Daphnia pulex: one gene and its partner. The protein of the gene in region 1 purifies or fractionates together with the protein of each later gene. This does not show direct contact. Links are inferred from orthologs where the notes say so. Each region holds a gene or a part of one and is shown on either strand. Other genes may lie near its edges. The genes, in order: derlin-1-like and E3 ubiquitin-protein ligase TM129-like.

Evidence for each region.
Region 2: the proteins of derlin-1-like (region 1) and E3 ubiquitin-protein ligase TM129-like purify together in Homo sapiens (affinity purification with western blotting; 3 studies listed by BioGRID). This does not show direct contact. The link is inferred for Daphnia pulex from reciprocal best matches to the Homo sapiens genes DERL1 and TMEM129.

Annotation. Positions count from the first base shown.
Region 1 is NC_060018.1:4,694,088-4,697,608, reverse strand, and holds derlin-1-like, read left to right. Parts: upstream 1-1,486; 5' UTR 1,487-1,602; coding exon 1,603-1,755; intron 1,756-1,820; coding exon 1,821-2,024; intron 2,025-2,109; coding exon 2,110-2,258; intron 2,259-2,315; coding exon 2,316-2,426; intron 2,427-2,485; coding exon 2,486-2,633; 3' UTR 2,634-2,774; downstream 2,775-3,521. Other genes in the region: dnaJ homolog dnj-5-like, read left to right, coding at 1-330, 391-522, 610-714; MPN domain-containing protein-like, read right to left, coding at 2,878-3,144, 3,214-3,521. UniProt on the Homo sapiens protein: Functional component of endoplasmic reticulum-associated degradation (ERAD) for misfolded lumenal proteins. Forms homotetramers which encircle a large channel traversing the endoplasmic reticulum (ER) membrane.
Region 2 is NC_060024.1:10,069,967-10,073,824, forward strand, and holds E3 ubiquitin-protein ligase TM129-like, read left to right. Parts: upstream 1-1,607; 5' UTR 1,608-1,795; coding exon 1,796-2,232; intron 2,233-2,315; coding exon 2,316-2,625; intron 2,626-2,693; coding exon 2,694-2,765; intron 2,766-2,824; coding exon 2,825-2,964; intron 2,965-3,024; coding exon 3,025-3,151; 3' UTR 3,152-3,203; downstream 3,204-3,858. Other genes in the region: nucleolar protein 14-like, read right to left, coding at 3,513-3,609, 3,674-3,829.

The DNA of each region.
Region 1 (3,521 bases):
TGCTCCGACGAAGAGATTCGACGTTACTACAAGCGACAAGCTGTTTTAGTTCACCCAGATAAAAATCGACAACGGGGAGCTGAAGAGGCCTTCAAAATCTTAGCGCATGCCTTTGAATTGGTTGGTCAGCCAGAGCGACGCAGCCACTACGACCAATTAGTACAAGAAGCAGACGAGATGGAATCTGCTTGGGCCGAGCTCAACGAGCTACTCTCACGGTTGCATGCCAAAATGGACGAGGCCGCAAACACGATTCGGTGCACCAATTGTGCCAAGCGTCACAGAAGAGTGAAAACTAATCGGCCTTGCTATGCTGCTCGATATTGTCAGGTACATGTAAAGTGCGAAAATAAAAAATTTCCTTTTTTCATTCATTTTGTTTTTTAATAGGATTGCAAAATTCATCATTCCGCCCGCGAAGGGGACCTATGGGCTGAATCACGATACATGGGCTTTCGTTCTAAATACTACGCTTGCATGGAAGGTGCCGTTTATGATATCACAGAATGGGCAAATTGTCAGGTATTTTACTTCGTTTGTTCTATGTCTTGATTGTTGATTAAATTAGTATTAGGTCTTGTCTAAATGGAATAAATTTTTTAAATTTAGGCTGGACATCTTCGTCATTTGCAATCTAATTCTCATCGCGTTCAGTACCGTATAGTTCCCGGCCAAGGGCAACCGAGCAGTGGAGGTGGCCGTAAATCAAGTTGATTCTAATAAACGCCTTATTGTCTTCAAAATTATGACATTGATCATTTTTGTTGTTGTTGATTTCTATTGCTAAAGTGTCCTATCGGGTGATTTGTAACTAATACCTTTGGTGCCTTTTTTTTTCAAACAATTTTGCTTTGTCTGGTATTTGGAAATTTTCTTTTGTCGTAGAATCTCGTAACGAGGTCCCCCCCCCCCTCCCCAATGATTTGTTCCTTCCTTCCCAGTTTAATACACATGGTAACTTATCTGTGTTGCCATCAGATTAAGCATGTGTTGAGAATTTGTACAGTTTAATAAGGAAAGTTTTTGTCGACAACCCGGTATCATACGATTCCTTTGCGTGGTAAAATAGTTATTCTTCTTTTTTTCCCTTTAAAATTAATATGATTAGTTTTTATTCGACTCGTTGCAGGATGCATTTCGAATCTGGAATCTGTCTTCTACCACACATTTGCTTTCCTGCCTTTAGAAACACAAATTATGAGGAAAAACAGTCATACTCATAACGCTAATCGTTTTAAGGATTTTCTTTATCGTTGGTAGTGTATTAACTGTTTCGGTTCAACTGCGCCGAGCACTAAGGTCTTGGCGAATTAATTTTATTGAATAGAAATCAATAGTCCTATCATCATTCTAATTATACTAACCTTTTTTTTTTATTTTTATTTTATTCTTTTCCATTGGTGATTCATAGATGGCATTGGAGGGGATGACTGTGCGATTTGATTTTGGGTTTTGGCCTTGTTTTGTATTTATCCTCTAATGACACGTAAGTGTTCGTCTGCTTCGATTTGATCTTGACTTGAATTCGATTGAGATACACATTGTTCTTTGATACATTTCCTTTCAGATAATTTGGAAAAGTGGCTTGAAACCTTTTTAAAGATGAGTGAGCTAAGCAGCTGGTTCAAAAATTTGCCTATTTTCACAAGGCATTGGTTCGGACTAACTATTGCGTTGTCACTAGTTGGCAGATTTGCCATTTTGAGTCCAAAATATCTTATCTTGGATTACCATTCTATATTTGAATCATTCCATGTAATATGTTGTAGTTGAATATTTTAGAAAACATCATTCTTATTCTTAAATTGATTGTTCAATAGATATGGAGACCAGCAACAGCATTATTTTATTATCCAATAACACCAAAAACAGGATTTCACTTTCTCATCAACTTGTATTTCTTGTATAACTATTCTCTTCAACTTGAAACTGGACTGTTCAATGGGCGACAAGCTGACTACTTTTTCATGTTGCTATTCAACTGGATTTGCTGTGTCATAATTGGACTCCTAGCTGATTTTCCTGTAAGTATTTGGTTTCCTGATTCCGACTACATGTTGCTTCCTAAAAGACCTCATAATAACTACAATAACAATAATTTTTTTCTAGTATTTGATGGATCCAATGGTACTGAGTGTACTGTATGTTTGGTGTCAGCTAAATAAGGACACAATTGTCAATTTCTGGTTTGGAACACAGTTCAAGGCAATGTATCTTCCTTGGGTCTTGCTTGGATTTAACTTGATCATTGCTGGAGGGTAAAGAAACTGCAAATAATGTAATTTGTGATATACTAAATTCTTTTACTACAATAGTGGAGTCATGGAACTTGTTGGAATTGTCGTGGGACATTTATACTTTTTCCTCACGATGCAGTATCCTCAAGAATTTGGTGGTCCTTTGCTCTTAACTACTCCGCAATTCCTGTAACACGCCATTTTATTTATTTAACTTTAGCAAATATGTTAAATACTTCGTCTTTCAGATACAAATATTTTCCGAATCAACGAAGCGGAGTACAAGGATTCGGCGCGGCACCTCAACCTAGGGCTGAGTTTAGAGCAGCTGCACAGGATGCAGGTCCTCGACGCTATGACTGGGGACGTGGAAATGTTTTGGGTGGCCAAAACTAGCCTCACAATGGCCAAAATTAAACCCCGATTCTAATGTTTTGATGTGTTTATGTTAAAGAAACGATTATCGTCCCTCCTCCCATCAATTTCTGGAAAATGTATCCCTTTAATCTTAAGAGAAATTTAAATTTACTAAATTTGTCTCACTCTTTTATTCATATGTATTATTTGTACGCATGATTCCCAGATGGCTGGAATTTTGCAAAGAAAAACCTCGATTCATAGATTTCGCGATTTTCTTGTCTCACATACACGAGATTTCTTTTAGGTTGTTTTGGGGTTCAGGGTCTATAGGTTCTGCAGGAGATTTTACGTCGGTGAGATCTGTTTTCGTTTTCACTTTGGTCATGTTGCTGAGTGTGTCAACCAAATCGATAATCACATCATCTTCGCTTTGTAAGCTGGACTTCAAAGTCGCTTTCAACTTATCCAGAATCGTGAGTTCATCAGACCAGTTTTCGTCAAAATTTGTGCGGTCAGGAGAATCACGGTAAAATTTAAGGCAAGCTTCCTAATTTAGCAAAATGTTAAATAAAGATTGGTTGTAATGTCATTAGAGAACTAGTAAAGTTTGCCTTACCAATTTAGGGACTACGTCATCTTTGACGGTGGCGTCATACACAACGTTGTATTGCATGGCCATAGGACGTCCAAGTTCAAGTGGTCGAGATTCGGTAGGAGGAGACACCCAGTAGCACGTCAAGTGAGTGGTCGACGTTGATTGGCTAGGTTCCGCGTGATGGAACGGTGCTGAATAAAAAAGTAAAGTGAACAGGTAATGATAACATATAATAGTAAGGAATATTTCATTACATGAAATCATCGCTACGCAAGGTCGGTAACCTTGATCACCAGTTCCTTTGAGTTTTAATTGATACTCGAGTTGTG
Region 2 (3,858 bases), on another chromosome or scaffold:
AAGCCTTACGCATAGAGAATGTAACTTGAACAAACATTGAACACAAGTGAATAAAAGCGACAGGGAATTATTTCCGCTTAACCGTGACGAGGCAAAAATGATAATCAATGAAAGCAACGAACGCAACGCTTTTCTTCTTTTTTGTCTTTAAAATATACAAAAAGGGGTTCCTGACTAACTGACGTGTACAATTTTCGAATAGTGTTGGTCTGTTAATCAGTGGCTTACCGGTGAATTCAAGCGCCAGCTTTCGAATTAGTTTGCGTTTTTTCTTGGAAAAGGATAGGACGGTACCCAGAAAATCTGAATGGTGTACGTGATGTTTGCGCGGACAGGACTGTGTGGCGCACTCGCTGGGGGTGCCTGTCGGGAAATGACTGGGCCTTAAACCCATGTGTACCCACCTTGCCATATAGATCATATTCGACGGTACTGTAGCCCGTTGAAAGCAGTGTATCTAGCTAGTGGGGTCCGGGATTGTGCATATCAGCACTACTAGATACTCTCTCATATGCTAGTGCGCAAGTCGCCTAGATGAAATTTCGGGGAGGAGACAACACACACACATAAAACCACCCAACTTTTTTTTCCCGTTCTATAATAGTTCATCAGACCGTACCCTAATGCGAGCCATATTTTTCTTTTTTTCGTGAAAAAAGCTTACTGTCATATTCATTTACAGCCATTTTGTTCAGATAAGACTGTTGGCCACTGGCGAGAGTAATATTTTTATTTGTTTAACAAGTCGTCCGCAACTTGTAGCTCGCGTATCGATCTCCATTTCCAATTAATCCACCGCATTCTTTGAGATAAAAATATTGTAGTACGTTCGCTCCAACAACTCTTGACAGTGTTTTCTAGTTGATTTCTGCTTTTTTTGGTAAAAAGGAGGGCAACAAAAAATTCTCAATCTAGATGGAATTTGGAGTGGGATTGATAAGGCCATAGGAAAATAGGCCTACGTGACTGTCATTTGTTCTGCATGAACGCATAAATTATGTATATACAAGATAAGCTTAACGAATATTTTAGATCCATCGTCTAGCAACTGTTACGTAATTCACGAATTCAAATTCATTTCAAACCACGGGAAATGATTGAGCAATCTTACGGTTATCAAAAATGTACCGATGAAAAGAGAGAATTTAAGACGGACATTTTAAACAAAATTAATATTTTAATAATAATTAATAATGACCACTTACGAAAATGTTTTCGGCTGAATCTCAGTCGAGGAGACATAGAGATGAGGGGTAACTCGATCTTTTCTATGATCCGTGGTTGGAGTTCCGGTGGGATTCTTGTAGTCTTTAAACAATGTCCCAATTTGATGGATCGTCCTTTTTTCTTAATTTAATTATTTCCCGATGAACACATCAGAAGTCAGAACCGATCGGTATGAACCGACTGATCTGACTGATATTTCTTTTCAACCAAAGGTCGACTGCTAGCCCTACAGTTGCGCCACGTTTTTATTTACTTAATTTTTTGTTCTGATTATTATCACTAGTTTTTGAAAATTGCAATAAAAGCATTTGGGTGGTGGTCTCGTGTGTGTCCTATCGCCTACGTAAAAACTAAAAATCCAACCCACAACAAAATGTGAACCGAGTAGAGCCGTCTGCTAGTTGGTTTATTTACTCTTTGCTGGTGGCAAGTGATGACGTATTGAGAAATACTCGATCGTATCTCTTTAGTTGTTCATTCTGACTCTAGAATATAAATTATTGTTACTTTTATTTTATTTGAAATTGTCCAACCGGAAAGGGAAACCCTACAAATTTATCGGGAAGCTATGATTGAATTCACGGTTTTCTATTTAATTTTCGTGTTCTGCTTCATTTTCCCTCCAAGTGCGTTTGTTAGTGCCGGCATAACGGTTTCAAATTTATTTGATTCCTGGCTCGGAAGTGAAGACCTTCAGTTTGTGCAGTACCATTTAAGTCGAACATTGGTTACTGTAATCATCCACAGTCTCCTACCACTCGGATTCTTTGGTGGAGTCCTTCTTGTTGAAGGCTATGATCAGCTGTTGTTATTAGTACAAACTCCACTTGGACTAGGATTTCTCAGCTTATCTGTTCTCCTTCCAGCAGCTGCTGCATTCAAAGTATTTTTCTGGTGGACAAACAATTGGAGTTCTCACCCACTTGTAAATTCATTGACCTCTTATGCAAATAATGGGAGACAGTGGAATGATGTAGCATCTGAAATCAATGCTGAATTCAGAAGGTAAATAAATCGTTAGTTATATATCTGTAGTATAAATTAATGTATACATGTTGAAAAACGAGTAAACAGTTGAATTTTAATAGGATAGACAAGGTCACAGTCCGCACCAATCCAGTTTCTAAAACTGTTGTGACCAATTCCTGGATTATCAAAGTTGAACCTTATGTGGTGCAAGTAGCACATCAGAATCATGTAACCTTACAGCTGGAAAATGCTGAAGAACACACATACACTGCTGATAGTCAAACAGCTCAATACTTGTGGGTGAATGTAGAGCACATTCAAACCAAACAAAAATTGTTTACCATTCGTCTCAACGCCGTTGACTATGCAGACATGCAAGACAGACTGCAAACTCGTATCAGTAATGTTCGGGGATTATTAATTAATCAGGTATTCACATAATATTAGGTACGATGTTTCGAACACACATTTTTGATAAAGTTTTTTTTTCCTTTCAGGACGTTCATGCGCGTTTTTCTAAAGTTTTCATTGAAGAAGTTAGCTTGAACCCAGTTTTTCAAAGCCAAGAGGTATTTTTGGTAAAAATATTGATTCTGACATGTAATACAAATTTAAAAAGCAAATTTAGGAAATGGATCCGTGTTTAGGCTGTGCAGTCAACAGTGCAAATATCCGTCTAATACGAAGATGCTTGCCTACCGGAAATGCTGATGGTTGCACTCCGTGTTTTTGTAGACCCATGTGGTGCATACATTGCCTTAGTAAATGGTACGTAACTTCGAAATTTTTAAATCATGTGTCATGTTATTTCATGTGTGTCTTTGATAGGTTCTCCGCCAGACAAGATGCTGAACATCCTGAATCGTGGTTAATGTCTCGCTGCCCCTGCCCAACATGTCGCAGCCCATTTTGCGTTCTCGATGTTAGTTTAGTTGAAACCGTAGAAAATATTTAAGTTGTCTTTTTTTTCAAATCATGTTTCAATAACAATAAATATGTTTGCTTAACTTGGCTGATTATGAGGTACTGTACCGTTGGTTATGAAGGTCACATCCTGGATCACCAGCTTCTGCTCGTCATTATTTGTTTTAACAAACTGATAAACTGTAATCGAGATGTCGTAAGCAATAATCGTATGTTTTACTTTCTGTCCCCTAACTCTCCAACATATCACAGTATTCTATTGCAAACGCCTATCCAATAGATATCGTTATATCTATCCAAAATATCTATAAATCTGAGCCAAGAATTCATATGGATTATAGGAAAAGAAAAAAAAACATTTATTCAAAGAAAATATGTCAAGCAAGTTGAAATTATTTCTTCTTCGGTTTCTTCAGCTTTCGGACTTCTCCTTCCTGGTTAGACAGAGATCCTAGCAATTCCTTAACTTTGCGTTTGCGCTGATTGTCCCTGCAAAATTGAATGGCGAATTAATAACACGTTGCTATACAATAGAAAGTTAATTGCTCCATACTTTTCTATTTGCTCTTTGAGCTTCTCTCTAGCGATGAATGCATTGTCCTTGCGAATTTCTCGTATGGCTCCCTTCATCTCTCGCTTAATCTTGTGTTGCAATTTATCACGTTCCAGCTTTTCTTTTGAACCAACTCTTTTCTTCCGCCCTTCAAAGCTACAAAAAGATTATTAACTTGAGGACTT